2 linked regions of the Oryzias latipes genome follow. The protein of the gene in region 1 purifies or fractionates together with the protein of each later gene. This does not show direct contact. Links are inferred from orthologs where the notes say so. Each region holds a gene or a part of one and is shown in the gene's direction. Other genes may lie near its edges.

What was found.
Region 2: the proteins of regulating synaptic membrane exocytosis protein 1 (region 1) and erc2 purify together in Homo sapiens (affinity purification with western blotting; 3 studies listed by BioGRID and IntAct, with this or other methods). This does not show direct contact. The link is inferred for Oryzias latipes from reciprocal best matches to the Homo sapiens genes RIMS1 and ERC2.

What each region holds. Positions count from the first base shown.
Region 1 is NC_019859.2:8,142,276-8,157,853, reverse strand, and holds the end of regulating synaptic membrane exocytosis protein 1, read left to right. Parts: intron 1-4,878; coding exon 4,879-5,023; intron 5,024-5,173; coding exon 5,174-5,286; intron 5,287-5,401; coding exon 5,402-5,503; intron 5,504-6,208; coding exon 6,209-6,348; intron 6,349-6,421; coding exon 6,422-6,640; 3' UTR 6,641-8,717; downstream 8,718-15,578. Other genes in the region: potassium voltage-gated channel subfamily KQT member 5-like, read left to right, coding at 15,114-15,442. UniProt on the Homo sapiens protein: Rab effector involved in exocytosis. May act as scaffold protein that regulates neurotransmitter release at the active zone.
Region 2 is NC_019863.2:5,033,965-5,049,542, forward strand, and holds part of erc2 (ERC protein 2), read left to right. Parts: intron 1-3,709; coding exon 3,710-3,733; intron 3,734-5,784; coding exon 5,785-6,219; intron 6,220-6,703; coding exon 6,704-6,778; intron 6,779-8,826; coding exon 8,827-8,982; intron 8,983-9,466; coding exon 9,467-9,634; intron 9,635-9,873; coding exon 9,874-10,041; intron 10,042-12,200; coding exon 12,201-12,338; intron 12,339-13,299; coding exon 13,300-13,440; intron 13,441-13,619; coding exon 13,620-13,760; intron 13,761-15,578. UniProt on the Homo sapiens protein: Thought to be involved in the organization of the cytomatrix at the nerve terminals active zone (CAZ) which regulates neurotransmitter release. Seems to act together with BSN. May recruit liprin-alpha proteins to the CAZ.

The sequences.
Region 1 (15,578 bases):
CTAAAGTTTTAATGTGAAAGTCAACATAAATGAATACGCTAGAGTCTTCTATTAATATCTGGAAAAGCATCAGGAAGTGCGGTCAGGCACTTCCAGTCGGTCATCAAAGAAGCTGAAGAACATAAAGAAATGTCAAGTTGAACCCCAAGGGAAGCTTCATGGGGCTTCTATTCCCATCCCTAGCAGTCAGGATCCAGGCGAGAGTCTGGGAAGGCAGCAGGCAAACAGACAGCTACAAGGTCAGGAGACAGAGGATCAGGTCCAAAGAAACTTGGTAAAGAAGGCAAGTGACACAGCTGTGTGGCATCCAGGACATGTGCACCGGGGATGCTGGGAGCTGTAGTGTGGTTATAACTCTGGAGACAGTTTCTGCCGGTGACCAGAGGGGGAGACAGAGCTCTGACTTCTGACAATGATTGTGTAATGTTTTTTATTTCTGAAGGTGAGCTTTCTCCATTGTAAGTTCATGATCTCAAGAGTCTTTTGGTTCTGCTGTAGAACAATGACCCAAAAAGCAGCACCTTTTAAATTATTTATTAAAAGAACTATTGATCCCTGAAGTCCAAATCTGTGAATATCTTTAACGAACTGTTTTTGTGTACCTCCTTCTGGTCAAACTGCTGCTGTATCCAGATGTCCTTTATGGCAATAAAATGTCATGAACCGTACATTTTATGCAGACTTCTAGTAAGGCATTTATTTGAAATGATAGACTTGAAATAGACAGCACTGATCACAATGATGACAATAAAATAAACATTCGATCATTGATCGGGATACAACATCGGATTTTGATCAAGTCTGTGACCGGGCCCAAGGTAGGGACATCCCTACTAAATAATTTATTTTGCACAAAACAATGGACAAAAACAGTGGGAATGTGCTCTGGGAGACCTTAACATACACTCCCCTGCTGACAAACGCATGCGTTAACACTGGGGTCCTTAAAACTCAAAGGTTATGTTGGGGCTGTAGTTTTTCTCAGACGACACAACTTTTTTTTCCTCTCACTGATGCCATAACTTTAGGAGCGTTTCCAGAGAGAGTGTTTGTCCTGGGGGGTCGAACGTTCCCAGACTCCTACGAAGAAAAGTAAAACACAAAGGCTTCTGCTGCCTCGGTGCACAAATGAAATGTCGAGTTTCAGCAGAATCCACTTCCACCGCGGGGCCGAAATCAAATGCTGTCATGGCCTCCTTTGTTGAAGACAGAAAAAGCTTTGAGACAACATTAGATTGCCCTCCCCCCTCATTGGATAACCTAGATGAAAAGGAGGAGGTGTATTCTTAGTCCTATACTCTTCTGGCCAGCATGGATGACAGCAAAAGCAGGTACGGATGGTGGTTTTTCCTCTTGACTTTTATCACGTTGATATTAAACGTTGAGAAATCAGTGCAGGACGGAAAGCAAAAACAGGCCTTAGATCACAGACACGTTTGATGTCACAGGGGGCTGTTTTTGCTGTCCCATCGTTTCCTGTTTACTGGATTGAGAGCATGGCTGAGCTTCACACGCAGACTGTCCAGAACTTGAAGCTTGAAGCTTTCTTCCACTGGTCGGCTCCGTGTGACCATCACTGTTGAGTGCTTTCCTGTTCACAGCATGAGTGTGACCTTGGGTTTGATCTGCCTGACAGCCATCTCTTTTTCTGTGGGAATTCACTGTTCTGAGTTAAACGGTTGTTAGACGTTTTATCTGTTTTAGACTGATGGGCTCTATCGGGCAGCTTGTCAGGAGACCTTCCTGGATTCTTCTGCTGGAGGTTTTTCAGTCAAGTTCGTCTCTGAAACACCTCAGATCAGACATCGGGCTACACGGCGAGACTTTCAATCTCTGGAGTGACCTTGAAAAGCTCTGGTTTCTCTGAGTAAGCTGGAGATGGCTCTGGAAACCCAGATGTCTGAGCATTTTTTCGACGGATTAGAGTCTTCAAATGAATGATCCAACTTGATCATCAGTCCTTAACCCGATCCCAATCTTTAACCTTGAAAACTTGTTGCCCCACAGGTGCTGTTTATAGGCGGTGTGGTTGCTAACATGCTAAAGACTTTAAGAGATATTTATTTCTTGGTTTTTGTCATGTTCTGTTTCCTGTCAATCATACCAGGTTGATCATCCACAGCTGTCTTCGTTTCAGTTAATTACCTTCATTGCATTTGAAGTCCCACTCCAATCATCTTTTGAGCTATTTTCAAAGGGTTCCCAGTGGTTTTTTAAATACGATTAGGCCATTTTTAGCCAAAATAAAAAAACCTGTGTCGTTTTCTAGGACACAGTTTTTGCAGAGCGGCAGAAGTTCTATAGAAATTTGCCTCCGAGTTGGAAGCGGGACTGCCACTAGCCTGCAATCTAACATTACTGGTGCATAAAAAAATGGTGAGCTGTCCAGCCAGTTTTATCCAGATAGCAGCTCAGACGAGGAAAACAAAGACGTTCATGGATCAATTTGTCTACAGGATGCATCAGAATGGAACCGAGCAAGGAGCTTGTGGCCCACGTAGTCTATATCCTATGAAACAAATACTCTCTGTTGCATACTGCATTTTGGTATGCTCCTGATTCCCAATAATTTGAACAAAGAAATACTCAGAAATGCAAATTTGAACTGAATATTTTTATATATGTCCTCCATCATGATGAGAGGACAGAAAAAACCAGTGTGTCGGGATTTCTGTTTTGTTATTTTTAAGTCATTTGTTGTCTCATCCTTTTGATCCCTGACTTGATGCTTTTGTCATGTTTAAGTTTATTTAATAATAATTTAGGTTTCTGCCCCCAAAAGGTTCTGTCCCACACCACTGGTCTCTGACAATTGGCCAAAAATCTCACACTTTCTCTTGACTTTCCTATAGACCAGATGCTCTGCTCCAGTCAGCCTGATGCTCCTTCCTTCATGCTGGTGCCATGCTGACTGATCTGTGTCCATCTGCCGTTCATTTTTAATAATCAGGAATAAAGTTTAGATCCAGAAACTCTTAACTTTTCATGCTAATGCCATTTTATAAAACAATACAAACATTTTTTCTCTCTTTCTTACTTATTTCAGTTTTTTTCTTTTTCCTTTCTTTATTCTATTTCTCTTATTTAATTTATATTTTATTTTGTTTTTCTATTTCCTTTTTGTTTAGTGTACCATCTATGAGCAGTTAGGAGTCCCCCTCACGGCAGCTCTGTTAGTGCATCCGTTCTCTTTGCTCGGGCTCCAGCCTCTTCTCTGATTGATTCCCGTAACGATCTTACATCAGGACCAAAACGCTGCTCCTTTTAAATTCCCTCACCTGCAGAGAGTCACCTGAGAAGCACCTTTATCCTCACTCATTTAGGTCCACCCAACAAACAGCAACTTCCTGCTAAAGATCACAGAGAAACTCTTCAGCTCTGTGATTGATGATGATGATGGTGATGATGATGATGGGAGCAACTATGCAATCCTGCACTCTGGAGATTTTAGGACACTTTTGTGCTTGGCCTCCTTAAATATAAGCTTAGCACCACTTAAAAATCGAAGTGTTTTGAAATATTATTATTAAAAACAGTTTCATTAATGTGAATTTGCTTTTATCGAAGCACTAAAAGGAGAAAATGTGTCTCTGATTGGCGGATGAGCTGACGGTAAATGAAAACCTTAAACAGTCAGTCTGCACATTTATCTTTTGGTTTCCAGCAGTTTCATGGGAAACTGAGAGCAGTCCATTAACAGCAGATGTTTAAGCTACAGCTTCATTCATGTTTTTATTCATCACCGGCCTCACTTTAGCCAGCCCTGAAGGTACAACCTCCTTAGAATACTTACATCATCCATTTGTTCTAAGGAGTTCTGTTTGTTCGCATACAAGTTGATGTTTCTTTTTATTTTTTTTATTTTTTTTAACATATAACAAAATGAGTGTATTTTTTACATCAACATACAGTTGTTTCATTTGACCTTCAATAAAATGGAGGGATTACTTATTTGCACACAAAACAATTCTACATTTAACTAAGCTTGATGACAGAGTAAAAAATATTTTCCCTCTCCTTTTAGATGAATATTTCTTTACTTTTTACAAAAAAACCAGAAAAATGAATCAGGTGAAAATGTGAGACAGTGTTTTATATAAAAAACAAATGGTGTAGCACTATTACATTTGGTGGCATATAATGATAATTTAAGGTAATTTAATTTAATGTTAGCTGTTTTTGCCCCATTTTACTGCAGTTAAATCCATTCAAGATAATTAAAGTTATGATTAATGTAACATCTCTTTAAATAATGTTGTGCTTTTAATAGACAATCAGGCCGTTTTCGCTGTAAGAGAGATTTCTAGCTTATAACTGTTTGTTTTTATGTGACTCTCAGTGTAGAAAGTGAGGAAAGAAGATAAAGAAGGGAAAAAAAAGACATTGTGAGGTTGAAGATTACACCAGAATCCTGACCTTTTGCTGTTAATCTAATAAACCATATTTTACATAAGTACCATTATGTAGCAGATGATCAACCACAAAGGCGTCAGACAGTGCTTACTGTAAACATTCTCTTACATGAATAATTAATAATAAATATACACAATAATAATAACATATATATATACATAATAATATACATATAATTAATAATAACTTCAGATAAAATCCCTAAAAGTGACTGTTCTTGTTAAAGTGTGAAAGATTTGGGCAAACTGTTAATATTATCTGCTTAAAAGTGACTGGAAACATTCAAAATGTTAAAAATGTTCATTAAGAGAGTACGGGTCATCCTGTAATCTCTTCAGGAACATTCTGAGGTCCTAGAAACAAGCTTTAAAGCTCATCAGCCACCCATTGTTGATTTCTGTTGGTCTTTGTTGATCTCCTGGCCATCAGGCTGATCTCGATGGTTTTCTCTCGTTTGTCTTCCAGAAGGGAAGAGTAAGAAGGAGAAGGGCGCTCCCATTCAGAGGAGCACCGAGATCGGCATAGCCGTGGAACTGACCCGGAACATGAGCCGCCAGCCCAGCAGGGAGTCCAACAACGGCAGCATGAACAGCTGCAACTCGGAGGCAAAGTCAGTAAACTTCCTTGTTCAGAACACGACTCTAAACTGTTGAAATCAGACTTGCAGAACTCTGAACCTGCAAAGATTGGACTTCCCCCGTGCCTCCATGAATGAAGGCCTGCTCTTAGATTTTGCTCCTTGTTGTGATTCCTGTTGTAGTTTGATCTTCTCTGGCATTAACATGGGGGCCAGCAGCCAGTTCAGCGACTTCCTGGATGGACTGGGACCGGCTCAGCTGGTGGGCCGACAAACACTAGCAACACCTGCCATCGGTATGGAACGGATGTTCTCTGGATTCGCCCTGTTCCTTCATGTCATCTTCAGTCTTTGCCTCACTGCTTCATTGCTGGTTTCCGTTTATAACCCCCTCTGTGCTCGGTTACCCAGGTGACATCCAGATAGGAATGATGGAGAAGAAGGGCCAGCTGGAGGTGGAGGTCATCAGAGCACGAGGGCTGGTACAAAAACCGGGATCTAAATCTCTCCCAGGTAGTAGTCTGATCCAGCAACAGCTCATAAGTCAGAAGGAGAAATGTGAGACAACAACAAAACGAGACCACATTTCTGAGACTTAATGGAAATAATTCACACCTTTTTAAACTCAGGAGGAGGAGTTCCTCTAGTTTTAAATTTCATATAATCATCTGATTGTTAAAGTTTTGTAATCAGGTGTAGATGCTGGTTTCAAACTTGTCAAACGTTGTTTTGTTTTTTTAGTTTATGGATCAGACCAAAGTCGGTTGTTAAATTATTTATATTGTGTTGAATCTCTTTCCATCTCAGACTTCTTTCATATTTTTAATAGCCTGTGGCAAAACTCTTTACTCCATCTCATTTTTTTTTTTCAGGAAAAGCTGTCTTTTTTAGGACGTAATCTTCACTTGCTGTTGAAAACATAATAAGAAAAAAAAAATTTCCCGTTTGAAGACCTGCTCTGATAAAAAAAAAGAATTGTGTTTTTAACATGTTCTTGTGGCGTTTCTGATGCTGATGACAGAAGACATATATTGAGAAAACTAAGCTCAAATTGGATTTCTCAATAATCCTTTACTCAAAATTTTGTAAATCAGGTGCAGCAGACCTTACCTTTGTTGTAGAAAATCCACTAATAGATCAGAGGAATATCAGAGTGGGACTTTAAGCAAATGAAGGTTAGTTTCATTGCCTTGTTCCTGTTGTCCTGTCTGCCCTAAGCTCCGTACGTGAAGGTCTATCTTCTGAATAATGGAGCGTACGTTGCCAAGAAGAAAACCAAGATTGCGCGGAAAACTCTGGACCCTCTGTACCAGCAGGCGCTGCTGTTTGACGAGAGTCCTCAGGGGAAAGTCCTGCAGGTGAGCAAACACCTGTGCGGCATGATCACAAATGCCTGCATGCATGTTGACTGATATGGTCGTCCTCCTCCAGGTAATAGTCTGGGGGGACTACGGCCGCATGGACCACAAAAGCTTCATGGGAGTTGCACAAATCTTACTGGAGGAGCTGGACCTCTCGAGCACAGTCATTGGCTGGTACAAGCTGTTCCCACCGGCCTCGTTGGTGGATCCAACGCTCGCCTCTCTGACCCGCAGAGCTTCTCAGTCGTCCCTCGACAGCTCGTCTGGACCCGCAGGAGTCCGATCTTAGATGAGCAGAAATGTTGAGGAACAATCAAAAAGATTCGCAACGAGAAAGCTTTGTCGAAATCTGACAATCACTCCTGCCGCGGTTCTTTCTGTTTCAGTGTTTCACATGCATTGTTGTCAACAAAACAAAAATGACAAATGTTTGAGTGTCGCCGGGTGGTTTTTGATCGAATCATCGCAGCACAAAAATGTACGTACGCATGGGAATGTAAGGCCTCCACGCCTGCAGGGGGCGCAGTCCTGATGCAGCGCTTGCCTGCCGCATGGATCTTCAGTCTGAATGCACAGGGCCTTTTTCTGGTGCCTAGAACCTGGAGCCGTGTCCACCCGCCCCTCTGTTCAACATGTTTACGAAGGCAGCGCTCATCCCCTCGTGTTTGCTTCTCCTCCTTCGTTACCGCAGCCGCTAAATGTCTTATGACGAGGGAGACGGTCGCGATGTTGTCAATCCGCGCACAGGGAGAAAAAAAGGAGGATAGAAAAAAAGTTCTGGGGAAGAATCAATGTTGATGGTAGACCTTCACACCTAGCTTGTGCTCATTTACCGGCCAATGAGAAGGCCAACCATCTTTGTACAGGTGTGCTTCAGACCTCTGAGGAGGTGGACCAATACAAGTTTATGTCGCACATCGCCAACGGTAGAAAAGATGCCCTTATTTTTCACCGTTCCGAGGGAGTGCCTTCCCTCAACCCAGCACGTTTAGGGTTTTTATCTGAACCTCGGTTAACCTTTTTTATTACAAACACAAGCACAATGGCTTGATTTTCTTTTTTCTTTCTATTTTTTTAGAAAGAAAAACGTTTCAGGAGAAAAAAAATGAGGATGAAGCAACAATCCTGAGAAAAGTTCAGTACTTTGTCTTGATGGAGGACTAAAAATGACAAAATATATACATGTAGAAAATAGAAATAAACACCTTTTTACTAAAAATATAATATAGAAATTATACTAAAAAACTTTAGACATTTAATTTTATAAATGCATTTCATTACTTTAGCATTCAAGCATGTTGATTTAACAGGGGATGCTAACTGAAGTCTAAATCTAGAGTTCACCGGGCAAAAGCTCTGGATGACAAAGTGTTCTGTGTCCTTCTTCACTTTACATTGAGAAAAGCTAGCTAAATCTTAGCTAAAACCATGGTTTCTAGCTAGCTAAATAAGTCCAGATTATCTGTCAATGAAGTATAATTGAGGAGAGAGTCCATAGCAACCACATCATGTTTTAAATGTATGGAGCTAATAGATCTGTGTAATCATTTATCTTTCCGTACATTGGAGTAAATGTTTCCCCGCTGCACCTTAGCAACCAGCGTTTACGCTAGCCACACCCACAGGGTAACAGGAGGAAGAGTGAAATGCAGTCAGCTTGGGACAGGCTCTCAGCCGGGGGTTCGTGTCGACTGGAGGACTCACACGTGCGTTGTTGGGCCATGTTATGATCGCTCATCCGTCTTTGAGCATTCGCCACAAGGCTGAAACTAGAGTTTCCGACATTTCTTCACCAATCGGACGGATGTACGTTTGTGTGAGTTTGGCAAAAGTCAGAAAGCCAATAAATCCGTTTTGATCTTGATGTCAGACTTTGGAGCAAGGTGGTGCTCTTTAGAAAAGGTCAGAGGTCACGTGTAAATCAGGTTTTTTTCAGGTTTCGATTTTACGATTTGAAATAAAGTAACATTTCGTTGACTCTAAAGAAAATGTATCATTTTGATATTTGCATAACCAATTTTCTGAGCTCAGTCCATAACCCATACATGTAGAAATACAGAAATATTTTCAATATTTTTTCAATTTAAAGATAAAAACAACTCGTAACCTGTTGTGTATTTCTGCATTTTTACAGTTTGTTTTGTTTTTAAAAAAAAAAAGTCATTTTCAGTCCTCCTTAGTTGGAAGCAAAAAAAAGATTAGCTCAGTGTCATCTGGAATCTTAAGCTCCTCCTCCTTTGGACTTGCAGAGACCCCTCTTACCAAGAGAGGGGGCGGGGCCAGCATGACTTTGGAACCTGTTCCAAGCTGCATGCACATTTTTTTGTAAACCAAAACGACGACCCCCCTGCCCCCCCCCCCCCCCCCCCCCCCCCAAAAAAAAACTAAACGTAAAAAGATGTACGAACTAGATGTTAGTTCCATGTAGCTTATGGCCGCTTGTATGTTGCATGCAGTTGTACAGTTTGCTTGTACTTGAATATTAAAGAGGTTAAACCGAGAAGCCATTTTCATAACGCCGTCCGAAATCAGCTGCAGTCTGTCCGGTGCTGAATGTCTCAAAGCGAATCCCGAGGTCACACCTACGTCTCTCCTTCACCGTCTGGAAAAAGTACTGTACTGTACAGTGTTACTGAGCAGACCTCACAGCACCTCCTGCAGGAGGAACAGACCACGTACGAAAAAACGCCACGCGGCGTTCAGTGACTCGAGGAGTCAACGCAGAGTCTTACTGTAAATACCCGACAGCTGTTTGCTGGATTTTTCGTTAATATTGGACCAAGTTGATGAACAAGCACACGTGAGCTTCACTTTTGAACCAAACGGGCCATGTTTTGTCTCACTTCACAGCCGTTTTCTTTCCATCGTTTGGTGAAGTCGGTTTTTTCAGTTTCTCTTTTCTTTTTGTCCGTACTAACAGGAAATAAAATTGCTGATTGTTTACAAACTTCTGCGCTCCACTGTAACAAAACAAAAAAAGATTAGAGAAAAGTCAAAAAAGTTCACAGCAACGTTTCTTGTTTGTACAACAGATGTGGCTCAAATGATGTGTATGTTTTATATATATAAATATATATTAAAAAAAAGTTCATTTTTATTATTTACAAATAAAAAAGGATGTGTGGATAAAAAAGCCCTCTCTTGTCTTGTTATTTAAAGACTAAAGGAAACTTGGATGAGTGAAATGACCTCGTCTCTCTGTTCTCAGTCTGCTCCAACGCATCGCGCCGCCCCAGGCGGCGACCAGCCCACGTATAACGGGCGCAAGCGGTCTGCGGCGATGTCGGCTACCCATGGACCCATTTAAAACACGAAACAAGGAGTTTGTGTAAATTTTAGTGTGTGTAGATTTTAAAAAATCACACCCACTTATCGGGTGTGCGTTTGGTTTTCTATATAATAATGTATGCCGTCCATCTGTTGATGACCTGGGTCTTATTTTTATGATGAGTTTTTTTTTCTTTTTAAAATTGGACCAAAATTGAGCATTTTATGCTGGCTTTACTGTATTTACTAAGCCGTGTCTCATTGTTTACAGACCTTTCCAATATGGCGTCGCTCTTTACGTATCTTTGACAATGCTAGCGTAGCGTCTCTAGCAAGATAACTCATTGCGTGGCGCCAACTTGAAAACCACCAAGAGCAACATGGGATTCAAGGACACTTCAACTTATGGGCGGGCAAAGCGGGCAGAGATTGACCACTCGACCTCTGCGATGTGAAGCTGATGCAAGGGCTGCATGGTGGTGTAGTGGTTAGCACTCTCACCTAATGGTGAGACGAGTCTGGTTCAAATCCCAACTGGGAGCCAGTGTGGAGCCTGAACGCTGAAGAGTAGGTGTGCATGTAAGTGTGTGATTGACCGATGACCTGTTTAGGGTGTACCCCACCTTTTCCCAACAGTAGCTGGGTTGGCTCCAGCTACCCCGTGACCCTGAAAGGGTTTCAGCCGCTTTTAAAGCTGGAAGGAAGCTGAAGTGAGGATGCGAACACGTGGCCGGACAGGAAGTGGAGCCTCAGAGCTTCGTCCCCTCAGTGGAGGTGAGTGAGACTTTCCTCGCTTGTTTTTTTAAAAAAAAATTTCAGGTTTTTTTTTTGTGACTTTAGAGGAAGCGCTGATGTGTCGTCCACCCTCTTTCGAAATCAAAATTACCTCAATTTTAAAATGAAGCTGGTGACCTTTCTGTGTGGAGTTTGCATGTTCTCCCCGTGCATGTGTGGGTTTTCTCCTCCCACTGTCCAAAAACATGCTTCATATAATAGGTGTGGTGTTCACAAGTGGTTACTAGGTGTAAATGTGAGTGAACATGGCTGTGTGATTGTGACAGACTCGTGAGAAGCCCCCCCCCCCCCTCCCTGCTTGTCCGGTGTGAACGCCATGGGCTAAATGCACATTTGAGACCCTGCATTTAGCGCATTCTTTAATGAACGTCACAAGCCCGGTGTGAACACAACTCTGAACATCTGCATCCTTGCAGTTCTTGAGTCTGATGATCGCAGGAGATTTATATTATTTACACCCCCTTTTTCTTTTTCTTTTCAACCAGTGGAATTATCATTGTGTGAGGAAATCATAAGAAGGAAAGATTCTCTCATGGTTGTGTTTGCTGGTTGTAAAATAAACAACCAGGACAATGAATTATTCAAAAAAGGAAATGTTTAATCTGGGAGATCATGGAGCAGCTGAGGTTTCTTTGGAAGAATATTAAAATTCATCAAATTTTGAAAATAAAAGGAACATTTTGAAACGGTTTCTTACCTTTACCGGGAGATTTTTCTCCATAAGGTTTCACTGGGAAATTGTCCTCCTTATCCTGCTGGAATCAGCTGAATCTCTATGAAGATTTATCAAGTTTTTCCTTCATTGATGATCTTTTTTCCTTCCAACGTTGTTTGGAAAACTCCGTTTTAGGGCTGGTTTTACTTTGACTTTGCTTTTCTCATTTTTTTTTAATGTTTCAAACCAGATCATAAAAAAGGAACGCACCAAGATCACCTGCTGCAGAACTCACCTGTTACAAGAAAATGCTTGTTGGTGTTCTCATTTTCAACCCTAAAATCTAAAAACGTCCACTAAAATCAGCTCATTATGAGAAAAAAGAGATGAAACTTAGCTCAGTGCTCATTGCTTTTCCAGGACTCTGGGATGCGGATCCGGCTGGGTCCCGTGACTGGCCTCACATACGGCGCAGCAGAGGGCTTGGGAGATTTATGTTCCTCTCCTTAAAAAAGCAGAGGGGCCCCCGAAGCTACATCTGCAGGCAATCTCTGCTGATCCTCCACCACCCTCGCCCTGCCAGCCGGGCCTCCAGGCGCTTCCTGGTTCCCTCCGGTGCAGGAGCGGAGGTCACCTCCCCCTCTGACGAAAGCTGGATCCAGACCAGCGTGGAAAAGCTCAGCGGAGCCCGGGCAAGTCAGGGGCCACAATAAAACTTTGTGAACTTTGGAGATTGGGTCAGAAACGCAACCTCGGAAGAAACCCATCAGTTTTCCTTTAATCTGTACTTTTGCTTCAACAAGAAGCTCAAAAAAAGAAGAAGAGTGAGCTGAAAAACCAAACTAAGAACTAGAAATGAATATTTCTGCTCTCTGGAATCAACAGAAGCTGATTAATGGTTTGATCAAACTTCACATTATTTGCTTGTTTTTAAAGGAGTTCAGTTTAAACTGGGAGAAGTTTCAGTTTTAGAATTGTCTGCACTCGACTCCTTTGGCCTTAAATTTGGTGAATGCACAGGCAAAAAAAATCCTGTTTTTTTAAAGTAAACACTAAAAATGTCAATATGAGAACATATAGACACAAATATAAAACAGTTAGGGCAGTGAGAACAAACAAATTCTTTACATCATTAAATAAAGAGAAGAAAACAAAGACAATAAAATAAAACATAAATACTAAGGGTTTTCATCAGTCATTGTCTTTAACAGAAGTGAAGTGATTATTTTTCATGTATTCAAATGATTACAAATAGAAACAAATCTCTTTATAAAATACATTAAAAAGTGTATTTTTTTACACGGTGGCGCAGTGGTTAGCGCTCTTGCCTCACGGTGAGAAGGCCCCCGGTTCAAGTCCCGGCTGGGGGACGTGAAACACATCAACGGGGGACCTTTCTGTGTGGAGTTTGCATGTTCTCCCCGTGCATGCGTGGGTTTTCTCCGGCTTCCTCCCACCGTCCAAAAACATGCTTCATAGGTTAATTGGCAACTCTAAATTGTCCATTGGTGTGAGTGTGAGTGTGAATGGGTGTGTGATTGTGGACATTCTACCCTGCGACAGACTGGCGACCTGCCCAGGGTGCCCCCCTGCCTTCGCCTATAAGTGGCCGGGATAGGCTCCAGCAGCCCCGTGACCCCAAAAGGGATAAAACGGAAAAGAAAATGGATGAATGAATAAAAAGTGGTTTGGTTTTTGACAATTTACTTTTATGATTATAGAACTACCCTTGGATTATTGATACATAAACACTAAACATGTGTTTATGTGAAATGACACCCAAAAGAAATGTTTTTTTATTTTTATTTCACCAGATTAAAGAATTTAGAAGAACACCAGAAATGAAAATCATCTCTAAAACTATTAAAGTAATTAAAAAAAGAAGTCAGTGGTTTCAGTGTTCAAAAATACAGTTGTTTTCTTCAAATCCATACTTTAATTTTAAAAGTTATTTTTACAACATTTATGATTTTAAATCGGACTTCTTCAGATTTTGGATTAATTGGGAGTTTTATGAAAGTTTTGTGAGCAGAAAGCCCGTCAAGGTCCGCCACTCCACTAGATGGCAGTGTTTTGATATTAATGCATAGAGTTCTAAGCAAGGGGGGAAAAAAACGCAGTCTCTCTCTCCATTGACTGTCAATGTCTCTCTCCCTCGTTTTCTAATCTGTGCATGATGTTGTGGAGGTTCAAAAATGGCCGCCATTGTCAACGCGTCTGTAAGTAACGAAGACGTGCGCCATCTTTGAAATGATAAGCAGGTCTTTGGTTCAACACTATCATATTTTCTTTACAGTTAACCCAGTTTCTTTGAAGTAAAGTAACAGTTGAATTCTAAACGTAAACGTTTAACTGTTTACTACAGAAATGCTTTTTACCATTTTTTTTGGGTCATTTGATATCAGTGTATGACAGCTGTTAGCTTAATTTTCAGACAAACAGCAACAGTTTAATTAGATTTGATGATTTAAATTAGACACGTTAGAAATTTTTAGGTAGACAAAAATGGAATAAAGTTAGTGAATTTGCTATTGAGTCAACATATTTTTAAATAATTTTTGTTTCTGGAAAAAATTGACTGACTTCTTGCTAATAGTATTGTGGGGTTTATTAGTTTTGATATAATATTCCACTTGCTTGATGGTGTTTTAACAAACAAAAAAGACACTTGACACACTTGTGGGATTTATACCCTAAATTTTTGCACAACCACAGAAGTTAAAAACCTCCTCCAATGATTTTTTTTTTTTACATGTTCGTGTGACATTTTTATCATGATGGAGGATATATATTACCAAAAGTGTTGGCTCACCTGCCATGACTCCCATATGAACTGAAGTGCCATCCCATTCCTAACCCATAGAGTTTAATGTGATGTCGGTCCACCTTTTGCAGCTCATACAGCTTCAACTCTTCCAGGAAGAGGAGTGTTCAAAGGAATTTTTGACCATTCTTCCAAAAGTGCATTGGTGGTCACACACTGATGCTGGTGGAGAAGGACTGCCTCTCAGTCTGCTTTAATTCATCCCAAAGGTGTTCTATCGGGGTCAGGTCAGGTCAGGTCAGGAATCGGTGTAGGTCAGTCAAGTTCATCCACACCAGACTCTGTCATCCGTGTCTTTATGGACCTTGCTTTGTGCAGAGTTAAAAACAGCATCACCATTTTACAAAGCAAGTTGAGCTTCAGCATTTGGGCTTTTTGTTGTTTTCATTGTATTTGAAAAATAGGAGCAAAACCTTAGAGTTTGGGGGATTACCTACTTTCAGTTTTGACTTGCAGTACAGAACTGATTGTCTTGGTTTTTTTTTTTTTGTAAATAAAAACTTGTCTTCAGAGATCGGCAATTTGCCATTTTTCTTTGTTAATTTAAAATTAAATTACCTGTTAAAATATAAAGAAAGTTCTGCAGTTGGTATTTGTAGTTTTGTTCTTTACAGTTTCAATAAAAACCCGAAACATCCGAGTTTGTTTTCCAAAATCCTCTGGAACCTTAATGACAGCAGAGTCCCTCTGTCCGCCGCCAGAGGGCGCTCTTCAGTCGAGACCGCAGCAGCAGAGCGGTGCGCGCGACAGCTTGCACCTTCTTGCTTTTATTGTGATGCACGTGCGTGCAAAGAAGGAAGTTCGGGTAGAAAACCTCGCGGTGCAAAGTGGAACCCTTATGCACGTAGAGCATTTTATGTGCATCAATGATGCAGACTGTCTGGCTTTTGAGCTTTAATTTAGATTTTTTTTTTGTTTGTTTTTGCAGCCGCTCGGGTGGGAGTGAAGATGCAGAAACTTCAAGTCTCGGGAGCGCGCGAAGCTGATGCGCGTCTCTGGTGAATGCGCAGCTGTGAAGCAACAGGCGGCAAACATCCCTCGCGCTCTCCGCGGACACGCAGCAACTTGCGGTGAATGGGAGTTTGACGCACGTGCGGAAAAGGTGCGCTTTCCTCGTCCCGGACAGCGCAAGACGGGACGCCCCCCCACCTCCCTCACACCCTCAGAGGACACACGCATGCTCGTGCAGACCTCCGCGCGCTGGCCGGCTCTGGTGCTGCCATGCCCCGGAACCACGGCGCAGACGAGGGCGGCTCCGGGCTCTGGATGAGGACATCCCCGGGACACAGAGGCGAGGGCTCGCGGGATGTGGAGTCCGGGAAGATGACAAACTGCGCCGGGGACGGCCTCCTGTCGCCCTCCGCCGCAGGTGCCGGCGGGGTGGACAGCCTGACGGGGAAGCAGGCGGCGCGGCTCAGCCTGCTGGGGAAGCCGCTCGTGTACAGCGCGCAGAGCGGCCGGAGGAACGTGCGCTACCGGCGGCTTCAGAACTACCTGTACAACGTGCTGGAGAGACCGCGCGCCTGGGCGTTCATCTACCACGCGTTCGTGTAAGTCCCCCTCCGCGCCGTCACTCAGTCAGTGCACCTGTTGATGCTCAACCACCGCAGTCTCAGATCAGAGCGGCTTTCGTAGCCTTTTCTCACGGAAATGTCTGTCTGAAGCCCCTAAACTTGAAGGCTCCTC
Region 2 (15,578 bases), on another chromosome or scaffold:
CGTTGTGCTGTACTAACAGTTTGATCCAAGTGTTGAACCTTTCCTGAGCAATGACACACGGGAGAATTCCTCGGGGTTCTCTTTTCCGTTCTGAACCCTCAGCCTCCAGTGGGCTAAGAAAGACTCCAAAACTTTTGGGCGAGACACCTTATTTTTAATTTACGGTTCTCCGACAGTCCCCCGCTCCGCGCTCACACCCGCTCTCCTCTCCTTAAGTTACACGCACACACACGCAAGCACGCGCGCGCGCGCACACACACACACTGTCCCCATCATACACCCCCCCCCAAAAATAAACAGCTTCTAGCTTGTTCCATAGCAACGGTGTCCCGCTTGATTAGTTACCGTTTGAGTCCCGACCGGGACCGGACCGGACCGGACATAACAGCGGTTTCCAACTACGGTCTGAAGCCTGATGCTGAAAGGTAACACGCTGACAGCAAAATCAGCGCACAAAAAGCACCTTAATAAGTCATGTGATCTCAGTTGGTGGTGTCCTGAATTGACATCACTGACGTACAACTCGCATTTACTGGGGAATATCCGATTTGTCTGCTTACATGGCACACGCAAATGCACGTATCCGATTTATTTCCGATTTATTTCCACATATGAGAGAGGCCTGTATCCGATCTTAGAAAAACAGAATCCATGCGCTTTTGTCCTGCTTACACATTCACCGGTCATATCCGATCTGTGCCACATGAGAGGAAAAAAATCGGAATTGGGTCACTTGAACAATGCAGTGTAAAGGCGGCCTTGGATACTTCTGGTAATATGGTGTATGTCACTGCTACAGACTTTTTCAAACTGCATTTTTTGTCTGCCCCTGATTCACATCAATGTGAATGAAGAAATACTCATAAACGGAGTATCCTTCCAAATGTTCTTTATATACTGTATGTCCTCCAGCATCAGAGAAAACGCTACAAGAAGATGGTAAAAAACACAGCAAAAGCAGTATTTTCATTGGAGTTGGTCTTTAATAAAACATTAGCATGCTCTAAAATTTGAGGGTTTAGCCACTGAGGGAGGAAGTAAGCCTTTAACCCAGGAGTGTCAAACTCATTTTCACCGAGGGCCACATCTGCATAGCGGCTGTCCTCAAAGGGCCAGATATAACTTATACATGTAACTAAATGTGAAAAATAAACTTAACTACTCCTAAATGTTAAACAACTAATTTATGTATTTGTAGTAACTTTTGAAAGGGACAATTACAGTTGCATAGAAAACATGTTTGCTTGTAACTCTAGCATAAATCCTTTTCAATTAGATTCTGTCAGGTTAGATTATATGGACAGTGTTTAAGTCCTAATGTATAGTTGCCCAATCTGATATTTCAAGTCAGATTCCCCCTAGATATGAATAAATACACACCAATTTTTATTTTTTTATTTTAAGAAATCAAAAACTTTTATGCTTTCGGGGGCCACATAAAATGACATGGGGGGCCACATTTGGCCCCCGGGCCTTGAGTTTGACATGTGTGCTTTAACCTTTTAACCACCCCACCAATGAAAAAAATAGGATTTTATTTATTTTTTATTTTATTTATTTTTGGGTTGAGTAAATAAAACACGCCATGTTTTTACAAAAATATTAGCGCACCCACATCACAGCAAGAAGGCCCCATTTTAAATCCCAGCTGGGACCCTTCCATGTGAGTTTGCATGTTCTCCCCGTGCATATGTGAGTTTTCTTCAGGCACTAAGGCCCTCAGGCCAGAAATATGCTTCATAGGTTCATTGGTGACTCTAAATTGCCCCTATGTGTGACTGTGAGTGTGTAGCCCTGCAACTGACTGGTGACCTGTTTAGTGTGTAACCCGCCTTCACCCTACAGTAGCTGAGGATAGGCTCCATGACCCTGATGGTGTTTCAGCAGGTTCTGAAGCTGCACGGGTGGAGATGTCCTCTAAAATGTTGTTGAATAGGCAGTTAAAGCGTTAAGACCAACTATTGAGCACTTAAAACTCATTGCAAGGCTCTAACTAATGGTACATCTGCTGCATGGGTAACTCCTGATGGTTTTGATTCATACTTCTTAATCCTAAGTGGAACTTTTTGGATTTTGTGTTGTTTTCTTCTGTTTTCAAAATTGTTGGTCATTAAATCAAGTATAGAAAAGTTGTTGGCAGATCAGCTCAAAATTCTGTTTATTTAAAATGTTGACTGGTTTGAACTCCTTGCCTCATATATCTCTCAGTGGGATTTTCTTGTTTTTTCACAAAAAGTTTTTTTTTTTTTTGACAGCTGGAAACCCACGAATGCTCCAATTCATAGAAGACATCGTTGTAGCTGAATGTCTCCCCTTCATTCTAGAAAAATGGGATAAATGATTTTTTTTTTAAGCCGAGGCAGCAACAGAAACATAAAGCCATAAAAATGAGTGAACACATCCGCTGAGTCATGAGCGAGTCACGGGAAGTGAGGCTTTGCTGCAGGAGACTGCAAGACATGGAGGGGCATTTGAAACCACGGGGCAATTATGCAAATGGTAGAATTGGACAGTCTCCTCCAGTTTGATATCAAGACGGTTATTGATCAGAGCTGAATTGGTAGAGGAGGAGAACATTTGCGTTAAAAACTAAAAGAAATTCAGGTTAAAAGGCTGAAACAACATCAAATAATTTTCATACTACTGTCACAGTTGAATTAAAAACTATTACTGATCAACATTAAGAAGTAAAAAGTTTTGTATTTTTTGTGCTACATTTCTAGTTGGATTTTACTGATATGAAAAAATATCGTGTAGCTTTTATAAAGCTGTGTTGAGCTTTGGTCTTCTTTGACAGAATCAGTGTTCTATTTCGTATGAACATAGTGTTGTGTAGTTTCTGATGATGTGTAAATGAGTAGGATCAGAAAGGGATGCTGGATCTGAACTGTGGGTTTGACAGCATTCAGCAGGAAATTCTCAACAGAAATACTGCCCCCCTGTGGTTGGAAGACAGTAAATTACAATCTTGTTAAATGATGATGAGTATTTTTCCAACAACTGTCCTTTTAATTAATTATTATTATTATTATTATTTTTAATACATTATATGTATGGTATTGTGTTAAATCTTCTAGTAACAAGTAAGAAATCTCTTACAAGAGCCAAAAACATTTGTTAAAGTACTAAGATTTAGATGGCTCATTAATTTGCTTTTCTACGTAAATGACTGTTGATTTTCAGCTTTTCCTTGACTACATTTTCCAATTAAAAAACTGAAATAAGTAAATTATTTTCATTTTATTGCCAATTTTTAAAGGTTTGCATACACAACTTCAGTTCCAAATGAATCTCGGATTTTTACTGTCAGTATTTCGTGTTGCTGTAAATGAATTGATTTTCAGTTTGTCATTTTTTTTCATCTCTTTCCAGAAAGGTCTTCCTGGTAAACGTATATTTAGTTTTCCCTTGTAAAGGGTGTTTTCCATGGCAGACCTGAGCCCCGTTAGAAACACAAAGACCCAGGAAGTTGAGCTGCTTGTTTGGTGAATGAAATATAAAAGAAGCCGAAATGAAATAATGTGTTAAATACATGTGTTAGCATGATTAGCAAAAAAAAAAAAAAAAAAGAAAGTCTGCTGTGAAAAAGTATGGTCCAATGCATTTGCCGTTTAAAATTTGCTGATCACCCATTTTGGTTTGCATCAAACTCGGACACTGTGTTTCAGCATACATCTGTTTTTCTGTTGATTCTGTCCATGCTCTGCAGCTGCTGGATGCCAGGAGAACCAAGGTTTGTCCCTATGTTTGCACCATGTGTTGCGTGCACAACATAGAGTCACCTTTAGTGTGGCGTGTTTTTACACCTGGCAATCCCTTTGCACCATGAAACCTTTGAACCCTTTAGACCCTCAGAAGAAGTAAAGGCTTTTTTTTCTTGATTCTGTCTGACTCCTCTTTCCCTGAACGTTTTCCTTGTGGAGTAGAAGTTGTTCATTTGAGTCCATGTCTATCAGAGCTGTGGATGTAAGAAGCATTCCTTTGACTTGAGTTGGATTCGAGCGTCCCGAATCAGAAACACAGATATGCCAAACTTTTCTTGCTGGTGTTTTCTGACTCCCTGACGCCGTTTTTGGTTAAATGAATTCACATTTTATTTCTGTGAATTCATTTAACCTTTTTTAAGTGTGCAGTTCTAATGATAGTATGGGAGATTGCCCAGGATTGCAATGTTTTCTACATTCTGGACTCAAAAATTGGTTATGATTGTTGAGAAAAAAAACCTTTTTTTTGTTTGGACACAGGCTATCTTTAACATACTTAGACATTTTTCATTTTTTGTTTTTATCTTCTCCATTGTTGCCATATGAAGATCACTTTAAAATCAGAAGCTTAGGAATTTGAGATGCTTATCCATGGCTAAACTTACTTTTTACCATACAAAATATTGATTACATTTGTTTGAAAAATATTAGTTAGCAAACCTTTTTGAATTTCCTGTTTTAATAAAATTATTCTAAAGGAGTTTGGACTCAAACTAAGCTTTTAGGGCACATTTGAAGGAAATGGAGACTCTCCTGCAACTTGGAAAACAAGGACTTAATCCCAGTTGCTTTCTAACACGCTTCCTCTTCACAGTTCCTGGGTTGAAATTTTCTTTTTCAATTGAACCGCGAAGCCATTTAAACCTGAATTGGGCCATTTTCTGTCTTTGGGTCATCCTTTGTTCCTCTTTTCTTTGTTAAGGGGAAAGACAGAACAAAAGCCTTGATAGACAGTGGCCCAAAAAGGATTCTGCTAAAAAAGAGCCAACATGTTTACAGAGAGTCAAACCTACATTGATGACAAACTAAACGGAAATTCTCGGTTTACCATGTTGGTAAAAAGGGCATCTCCAAAACAGCTTCAGGTACTTTGCTGATGGCAGTGGATCCTTCTCAGAGTACCACAGTACTCTGTCTGTTTGTGGCTGAAATTCAGCAGCGTTTCACTTAAAGTGATAAACTTCCTGTTTTAGATCCTGAAGAGCTGTTTTGGATCATCTCCAGGTTTTAAACAAATGTTTTGTTGCTTTTAAAAAAAAAAAAAACTTTAGATGGTTGATTTTTTTAAAGGCTGGCAAAAGGTAAGTACTACAGTTTTCATCTGCTGTTGTCAAATTATCAGTGAATTTCACTTAAAGATCCAGTCTGATCATCTTTTGATCTATTTTAAAAGCGTTACCACTGGACAGCCCCCCCAAAAAACAAAACTGTGTTGTTTTCCAAGGCATAGTTTCTGCAGAGCAGCAGTATTCATTACAAATTCACCCCTAAGTTGTTGGCACAGAGCAACCCCGCCCCCCTTCCCCTCCCCATCACTGAGAGCTCTGCCGTTAGCTTACAGCCCCTCACATCCCCATCCTACCATTACCAGTGCAACAGAAACAGTGAGCACTGTTGGAGTCGTATTGAGCCAGATGCCAACTCAGACAAGGAAAATGAAGACATTCATGAATCTATTTGTCTGTAAATGGATAAATCAAATCGAGGTGGAGTTTGTGGTCCGCCCAGCATGTTTTTTACGTCACAAATACAATCTCTGTCAAATGGCATTTTTCTGCTTCTGATTCACAACGATTTACATTAATAAATACTCAGAAATGCAGTTTTAAGTGAAAATTCCTTGATATAGGTATGTCGTCCATCATCAGAAAATTCCACGTGTTAAAACCACTAAAACCCCAATTTTCATCGGAATGGGTCTTTAAGAAGTTTGTTTTTTCCTGCATTCTTGTTTCTCAACGATGGCACTGCGACCGTTTGTGCGTGTACACATGCATGTGTTTGTGCATGTGTTCATCAGCATCTTCAGATGACCATCCAGGCTCTGCAGGACGAGCTGCGGACACAGCGAGACCTCAACCACCTGCTGCAGCAGGAGAGCGGAAACCGCTCCGGCTCCGAGCATTTTACCACCATCGAGCTGACAGAGGAGAACTTCCGCCGGCTGCAGGCTGAACACGACAGGCAAGCCAAGGAGCTGTTCCTGCTGAGGAAGACCCTGGAAGAGATGGAGCTCAGGATTGAAACGCAGAAGCAGACGCTGGGGGCCAGAGACGAGTCAATCAAGCAGCTGCTGGAGATGCTGCAGAGCAAAGGTCTCCCTCCTGGGCCAGGCAGGGCATCGGAGGAGGAGGAGCAGGAGCGAGCCAGACGTATCGCCGAAGCAGAAGCCCAGCTTGGACACCTGGAAGTTATTTTGGATCAAAAAGAGAAGGAAAACATCCATTTAAGAGAGGTACATTTGTTACATTCTTGTGACTGCATGGCTTCCTGGCTGTTTTCACTGTTGCCTTCCAGCTGAGAGGTTTCCATGCTGAGTTTGTAGAGTAGTTTACATTTCCCAGTAGGTCAGAGGGTTTACTCTGTTGTCTGGCTTCCTCCCCCGTCAAAACCTGCCCATGAAGTGGTGGTTCTGACATACCAGCAGTTTTGACATGAACATGTGGGTACTCAGTTAGGAACGACCACATGACCTCCACGAACCCCAAACAGGATTTAGAAAATGGATGGATGGTGTTTTGTGTTGTTGTCACTAGATGGCAGAGCTGAGCATAGAAAAAACTTCTCTTTTCTGCTGTATTCTATTTATTATGTAATGTGAACTGAAAATTGCAGGCATGTTTGTTGCATGACAAACCTTGCATGCTAAAAAAACACATTTTTTTGTGAGATTTCTATCTTCTCTAGAGCTTAGAATATTATTTTGTCTTTTCTTAAAGGAACTTCACAGAAGAAATCAGCTCCATCAAGACCCTAGTAAAACCAAGGCCCTGCAGACCATTATAGAAATGAAAGTAAGAACTTGTTTTGTGAACAGATAGAACAAAGTAAATAGTAGTGTCCCATCCTGTCAATCACCAAGAAGCAGACGTTGTGTGTCCATAAATTGGGGCGGTTGATGCCCATGAGCAGTGTGGTTTGTTAACCAGCTGGGCTTTGAAAGACGTGTTTTCTGCATCTGCTGTTTTTGGGTCCCAGGCTGCTGAGTCAGTTGTCAGCACATTTGTAGGTTGCCTCGTATCAGATCACAAGCCTGGCGTGTAAACATGAACAAAAGGCAGTTCAATACAGCCATTCAGCATTTCCTCCATGGGGACGTTTTGGAAAGGGTGTGGCGAACTGAGAAGCTAAGATGATATGACAAGTAGTAGCAGGAGATTGGTTCTCACACTTTGCACAGATAAGCATTATTCAGCGCTTTTCAAGCTTTTTTAAATGTATTTATTATACTAAATTCAGCTTTTAAAGAGTCTTCAACTGTTTTCTTTTGCCTATCAAGCACAGAGACGAGGATGTGCACGACATCACGAAAGACCCTTTTTTCGCATGTGAAGTCCCCCCACCCAAGTTTGCAGAAATTTCCTTTAAAATCTTTAGCTAATAAAAAACAAACTCAGATTCCCAAATGTGCTTAGTTTCTTTTGCAAAGGATGGAAACGGTCCCTCCTGTGTGCATCTTTGTAGCAGTCCACTGTAGCAGTGGAAATGTCAGCTGCATCGAACCACAGAGCTGCCGTACACACCCCCAGCCTCACTGCAGAGGCCTGACATCACTTCCTCAAAATATATCATGACATCATCGCTGAGCTGACACAGCCCCTCTTCGGCTGGATGGGAGCTGTGCAAGCCCCTGCCTCTTCAGGCGCCGTCACGTGGCACCAGGGCTCGCGGATCTTGTTGATTTTCATACATGGGGAGGAAAGTCCTGCCCCCTCCTGTGCTATAGAGGAAGACCCTCCATCTCTCCTTTTCCCATCGCTCTGCTGATGCTGATGGAAGCAGGAATAATCCTCCCTCCCTCTCCTGGTCTACAGCCCTCCCGCCCTCTCCTCTTCACTCACCAGAGACAGTGCACAGCATATAGCCTGCCTGCTGCTGCCATGGAAACAGGTGTGGTTGTTTATGACAGTATGCAGGAAGGTAGAGAGACAGAGAGACATACAGATCCAAGGAATGATAAAGAGCAGGATTTACTGACTAGGTTGATGCACCACTGACACATGTGGATGGAATAAAACCACCTCTCAAGGTACGCCGTCTCATGTCGTTTGCAGAAATGTCAGCTCACATGGAATTTTTCTTCTCGTAACACAGAGTCTTAGGTGAGGTGCAGGAGAATCTCAAAGTGCATGTACGTGTGCGGGGCTCTCGCATCGACACAGACCTCTCAGATCTGCCGTTCTTTATTGCTAAAACATTCAAAATGGTCCTCTGTTGCACGCTGTGACCAAGCCCGCCAACGACCATAAGTTCACAAGTTCAGAGACACTAAAAGAAAATCGAAAGAGTCCTAAAAGGAGAGCAAGATACATGCTCTCCGTGCATGCTTTGCTGGACAGGGAGATGAGCCATGGCTAATCTTGAAGATGTTGTATTATTTATTTAAAAAGCCGTGAAGCTACAGCAGCACTCGCCATCACAGTCCAGAGAGAGGGTTCTGAATTTATCTGCAAGCAGCCACTGCAAAAGCTGCAGCTGCTTACTTTTTCTTTTCCTTGTTTAACAATTTTCCAAAGTCCTGGAGAATCTGTCTGTGCTGGATGTGTGCTCAATATTTCCCAATGGTGATTAATCCTTTGAGCCCCTGCAGGGAGCTGGTAGAAAGCTTTGTTTCGCCGACTGTGCAGTTGTTCTCTACCTGACCAAAAAGCTTCCTCCGTTTACTTTCCGTGTCTGCTGCTCCCCCATTTTCTGCGACTCTCTCTCTCTGTCTGAGTGTTTTTTAAAGCTCTTCGGCTCTCACCCTCCTCGGGCTCCTCTCTGTAGTTTAGCTGCAACATGCTTTTCATGGACAGGCGAGGCTGGATTTTGAGGTGCGTCTCCTTTGCATTTTTGTCTCCAGGACACCAAAATTGCCTCTCTGGAGCGCAATATTCGAGATCTGGAGGATGAGATCCAAATGCTGAAGGCTAACAGCTTACTGAACACAGAGGACAGAGAGGAGGAGATCAAACAGATGGAGGTCTACAAGAACCACTCCAAGTTTATGAAGACCAAGGTAGAAGCCTGTGCCAATTGATGCAGTAAAGTACTGCCCCAGGAAAAAATCCATATGATGTGAAGTGTGTACAAACTTTTCTGTCATAATTAGCATACAAGCAGCAGCCTCAACAGCTTATTGGATTCTCAACTAAACTTACCTGGTTTACTGTTATATAAATACAGTTTTGTATGTATTCATATCTCAGATGTCTCTGCATTTGTTCTTTTTTAATTTTTGCTTTACAATCATTGTTACAATCATCAGCTAGGCAGCTAGAGCAGTTTTGTCATCTATTTTTAGACCTCTTTCATTAATCATGAATAAAGAGGATGTATAAAACATGATCAATGCAGGAGTCAGTCCCAAATGCATTTTTAATGGGGAAAAAAAAGCCCATCAACGACAATAGTGCAACTTTAGCAGCTCACGGTTTGGGCAGGTTTCTGGCACAAGGGCAGTCATGATGCTTAAAGACATTTGCCTTTTTTTGGACGTGCAGATCGACCAGCTGAAGCAGGAGTTGTCAAAGAAGGAATCAGAGCTGCTGGCTCTTCAGACAAAGCTAGAGACCCTCAACAATCAGAACTCAGACTGCAAACAGCATATTGAGGTGCTTAAAGAATCTCTCACTGCCAAGGAGCAACGTGCTGCCATCCTACAGACAGAGGTAACTGCTGTGTTTGCTGAGCCTGTCCCACTTTGGAAAAACTTTATTTAAATCTTTTTTAATTGAGCTGTTAATTGGACAGGTTGCATCTTACAAAATGTTGCATGTTGCAGAGACAACAATCACTCAGGCATGCTCTTTGGCTTCTTTTAGTTGTCAATTAAAAGCAGGTGGCTCTTTAAATAAGTGCTGTTAAAGCAGGCGTTTCCTGTCATTTCTTGTGGTTGGTTTGGCTTCAGGTGGATGCTCTGCGTCTCCGTCTAGAGGAGAAGGAATCCTTCTTGAACAAGAAAACCAAGCAGCTGCAGGACCTGACGGAGGAGAAGGGAACCCTTGCTGGAGAAATCCGGGACATGAAGGACATGCTTGAAGTCAAGGAGAGAAAGATTAATGTATTGCAGAAAAAGGTGAGAGCGAGGAAACCAACATCTTTGGATCTATTTGTAAATTTTATTCCCAGTTTTCTTTTAAATATGATTATGCAGGTTTTGGCCAAAAAAAAAAAAAACCTGTGTTGTTTTCTAAGGCAGTTTCTGCAGAACAGCAGGAGTTATTAGAAACTTGCTTGTGGTTGTGGGGAGGACTGTTGGCATGGACTAAGCCTACTTCCCATCATCCATCTGTTTACACGCTCTCCCGCTAGCTTACAGCCCCTCACACCCCCAACCGAACATTTCTAAAATTTGACAAGTTCCCTGCAAGTAGATAGTTCCCTGCAAGTAGATGCATCAGAATGGAGTATGTTGGCTTGCTATTGTAGTTTCTCCATCACAACTACAATCTTTTTCAATAACATTGTTTTTTTTAACTCCTGACTCACAGTGATTTGAATAAAGAAATACTCAGAGATGCATCTGAATTTTAAGCACAATGTCTTAATTTGTGTCTTCCATCATCAGAAAAATGACACAAGAACATGTTAAGAACGCCAGATGTTGTGCAATTTCACTCCAAAGTGTAAAGTTTTAAATGGGTGGTGACAAAAGCCCAGAACCTTTCTCTCCATCAGGAGAGAAAGTGTCTCCAGCAAGTTAAAGGAAAGCGTACAGAGAGACAAACACTGGGACACTTCTGTTATGTTCATCGCTGAGTGTTTATGTGTCTGAGCTGGAAATACCCACAGAACCATTCTTACACTTTGACCCGTTTACAGGTCTTCTTATTCTTTTGCCTCTAATTGTAATCTACGTCAAACTCTCCTTTTTTTCATTCTTTCTTGTTTTTGTTAATTTGAATTTGTGCTATACTCCATGAAATCTCTCTCTCCCTTTATATATATATATTTTTTTTTAAATGCAAAACTCATCTCTTGACTCACTGTTGTTCCTGTTTGAGTGTTGATGTGTCATTTGATGCAGAAATCAAGTTAGATAGGAGTAAACACAGAAATATGTTTATATTTGTGCACATCAACACCTTCGACTAATCTAAACCTTCTATATAATTGAATGTTTCATTAAAGGATGATGTTATTCGCATGTATTTCCGAGCGACCAGCTCAAAAAGGTCAAAAAGTGCTGGGAATTCATGCACATTGCTGCGTTGCCTGCACGTATTTTAAGTGTGTCCAAGGCTGTATTTTGTTGTTTGCTGCACGTATTTCAAGTTAAACTTAAAGTCCCATCATCTGTCACGTAAGGTGTGTGAAATATGTTCTCCACATTTAATCCATCCCCTGGAGGGGCGGTGAGCTGCAGAAACAGCCGCGCTCAGGAGCCATTTAGTAGTTTAATGCTAACTGTAACCATAACCTTAAGACATCCTCTGTGCGGCCAAGAAAAAAGTTCAATGCTTGCTGCACGTAGTATTTCAAAAAATTACGTGCGAGTAGACACTTTCTTAATTAAAACAGGAGGACAAGAGAGAAAGAAGCCAAACACATGCAGAGAGCATGCTACCAGTCCTTAAAGTGGTCTGCTGTGCTGAACATCTGGGGTTCATTGGAAAGCAAATCAACAAAAAATAATTTTACCTTTGAAATGACGTTTGGTTTTCTGTTTCTAAATTCTACTAACCTTTGCTTGCATAGAGCCTCTCAAAATTAGACACAATCTGCCTCTAACATTTATTAGAAAAATCTTTACAAAGGATTTTATTTTCATATTTAATACTAGTAATTATTGAAGCCTTCACATAACTTTGCTTCCATTAAAATTGCATTAAAAAAATTCCGTCTAAATATCTACATTTTTTGACTTTCATTAATTTAAAGCTGTTTATAAGTCTTGAACAGATCTCAGACAGTTGATTTTCCAGCTGATTTTTATAGCAGTTGTTTTTCTATTCTACAAATTAGTAGACAATACTATTCAGTTTCAGGTCTGACTCCTCCCCCATGAGCACATATTAACCAGCTCTAAAACCAGCTATTTCAGAATAGACAAAGCCTTTTGGATAAGAGGTGAAACATCTTCAACTTTTAAAAAGCAAGTCCAAATGGCAACCTGTAAACCTACTACTATGATGGATTCTACCTGGATGAAAGAGAGTCTTCATAGACATTTTACTAAAGTATTTTTGCTTCTTCCCGGGATTTCACAATCCACCTTCTAACTTCCTGAGGCAGATTGAAAACCTGCAGGAGCAGCTGAGGGATAAAGAGAAGCAGCTGGGGAACCTGAAGGACCGCATCAAGTCTCTGCAGACGGACTCCAGTAACACAGACACTGCCTTGGCCACCCTGGAGGAGGCGCTGTCGGAGAAGGTAGAGTGCAAATCATCACCTTATGAGACGGAAGTTAGGATAGAAACATAAAGGAGAATGTTAGTAAGCACAAAAAAATCACTTCTTCTTTTTAGAGGATCAAAAAGTGTCTTTTTTTCTCTAGATTTGTGCTACACATAAAACTTTTAAGGTAGCTTTTTTAACATTTAGAGTAAATATTAATATTTTTGCGGCTGGTTTGCGGTGCCTTCCGTCCGTGAAACCAGGGTTCGACTTCGGGCTGCTCCCTGTTCCCTTCTCTACTTCTGTGCTGGTCCCAAGCCCGGTTGCTTTGAGAGGGTTGCGTCAGGAAGGGCAGCCGGTGTAAAACATTGCCAAGTCTACCGTGCGACTCTTTCGCTGTGGTGAGCCCTGATGGGAAAAGTCAAAGAAGAAGAGTAAATATTAATATTTTTATTTGAAATAATGCCAGCAGGTGTATGATGCAACTAAAAACATTACTAAAATTATCTACATTCAGTAAAAATAGAAAAAAATCTAAGTATTCTACAACTTTACAGGTTTAGTTTAAGCAACAAACAGCAGTTTTAACTTTTCAGTGATGTTTATTAACTAAAATGCATTTTAAAAAATCCATTCAAACAAATGACTCGAAAGAAGTATAACTTAAACCGGTTTTAATTAAATGATCACAAAAGTCCCAAACTTTAAAAAAAATAACAAACAACTGCTGTAAATGTAGGTTCCTCCTTGTCTTGGCAGTCAAAAATGCAAATTTGTGTTCCTGATGAACACTTCCTGTAGTTGTATATCTATAGAAAACATAAAGTTTTGCTCTTTAAAAAAAATCTAAAGTCCTCTGGAAACTGATTTAGGTTTTATTCATATTGTGCTATTGAATATGTGGTAAATTAGTGAGCTTGACAAACAGAGACCCAATATGTAAAAAAAAATCAATACGGTTAGTGTTGTTTGCTTTGTTTTTTGTGTGACGGATTAGGAGAGAATCATAGAGCGATTAAAGGACCAAAGGGAGAGAGAAGACAGAGAACGCCTGGAAGAGGTGGAGTCCTATAAGAAGGAAAACAAAGATCTGAAAGAAAAAGTCAACAGTTTGCACATAGAACTAACTGAGAAGGAGGTCAGTGGGTGACACACATGTTTGTCTCTACTATACTTTAATGCACATGCATCACATTTTTGTAAACAGTGAAACCACTGAAACATTACAATGGATATTTAAATTACCAAAATAGGCAGATCTGGAAAATGTTCCACTTATCCAGCTTTAAGGCGTTTTTGCTGGCTCTATGCCTACAGTCCAGTCTCATCGATCTCAAAGAACACGCATCGTCTTTGGCGTCTTCTGGTCTCAAGAAGGACTCAAAGCTCAAGTCTCTGGAGATCGCCATCGAACAGAAAAAGGAGGAGTGTAGTAAGCTAGAGACGCAGCTACAGAAGGTAAGTGCGACTGCATCACTGCAAGCCAAAATGTACAACTTTGGGAATATTCAACTTGCATTTTTTTGGCCTAGCGTGGAGACTTTATGTTTAATAAGCACTTCATTATTATGTAGCATCTATTCTGTTTGGAATAAACAACGACATAAAGTCCTTTACAAATAACCATAGACATAGTTTCTCAATTCTCTGACATGGTTGAAGATGTCAGTGTGTCAGAAGAGAGGCTGATCTGACTGGATTAGATGTAAATTGCAGGTTTTTGACCCAGATGATCAGAGTCACCAGAGAACCTTTAAAATCACATTGCTAGAACTATATTGTGGCTAATTTTACAAAATGGCTTACATTTCTAAAGGTTCTTTTGTATGGAGCCCGTGTCCTGACATGGAAAAAATAAAATAAATCTCGTTCCCACTAATTAATATCTTGTTCCCACAACTTAATATCTTGTTCCCACGAAATACTATTTCGTTCCCTCGATTTAATTAATTTGTGCGAACGAAATAATTCTTCACGTCATTAGTCATTCATAAACACAGATATGCTCTCCGTCCTATCGCAAAAGCCGCTTTCAGCTGTAACTTCCGTGTCTCTGTGACCCACATTCGTTCAGGAAAGGAATAAGAAAAACAAGAATGATCAATTTATTATTGTCTAAATAAATGTAAGAAAAATATCATAAGATTTAGGATGCCCAAGCTTGCTGCTTCGCCATACCACAGCGATTCTCTGGACATAGCTCCTAGCTCCACTGCAGAGTTATTTTGCTTGTCATGCAGGAATTTGGGCAGCTGGCTGGCAATAATAATATTAGGAATAATAATATTCAGGACTTGTCTTTTATTAACAATACTCTTTAGCAGTCACTTTACATCCGAAGGCTAGGCTACATTCTACGTAGCCTATTATTTGTCCTATTGTCTTTGAACGCATCACAGTTACAGGGACATGGTGATTGGTCGAGATACATTATGGGATATGTGTGATGCATGATGGGATACGTAGCATTTAGCCTTTGGATGTTAAGTGACTGCTAACGAGTATGTTAGTAATAGACAAGTCCTGAATATTATTATTCCTTTTCGAACCAAAACAACAATATCCCATACCGCAGCCAGCTGCCCGAATGCCAGCATGACAAGCAAAAGAGCTCTGCGGCGGAGCTATGTCCGGAGAATCGCTCAGGTATGGCGAAGCACCAAGCTTGGGCAACCTAAATCTTATGATATTTTTCTTCTTCTAATTGAGACAATATTTTTTATTTTTTCCATGTCAGGACACGGGCACTGTACTTTTGGAAAACTTCAGAAAAAACTAGTTCATAATTTGTTTGCACCTGTAAACAAATCTTTTATTTGATCTGATTAAGTTAACTTAGATTTAGTGTCTTGAAACATTGCTGGTATCAAACTAGACTGCTAAAAAAAAAATAAAGGGAACACTGTAAAAACGCATCCTATACCTGAACAAGTGAAATATTTGTTTAAATACTTTACTCTTTATAGAGTTGGATGTAAGGACAACCGCACAAAAATAGTAATGGAAAATAACTTTATTACCCTATGGAGGTCCAGATGTGGAATCAGACTCAAAATTAAAGTGGGAAAACTCACTACAGGCTACAGGCAATGTCTTTGATACAAGCCAAAATGAGATTCAGTAGTGGGCGTGGTCTCTACACGCCCATTTGACTTTCCTGCAATGCCTGGAATGCTTCTGATGAGGCGGTGGATAGTCTTCTCCCACACCTAGAGCAAAGCATCTGCCAACTCCTGGACAGTCTGTGGTGCAACCTGCGGTGTTGGTGGATGGTCC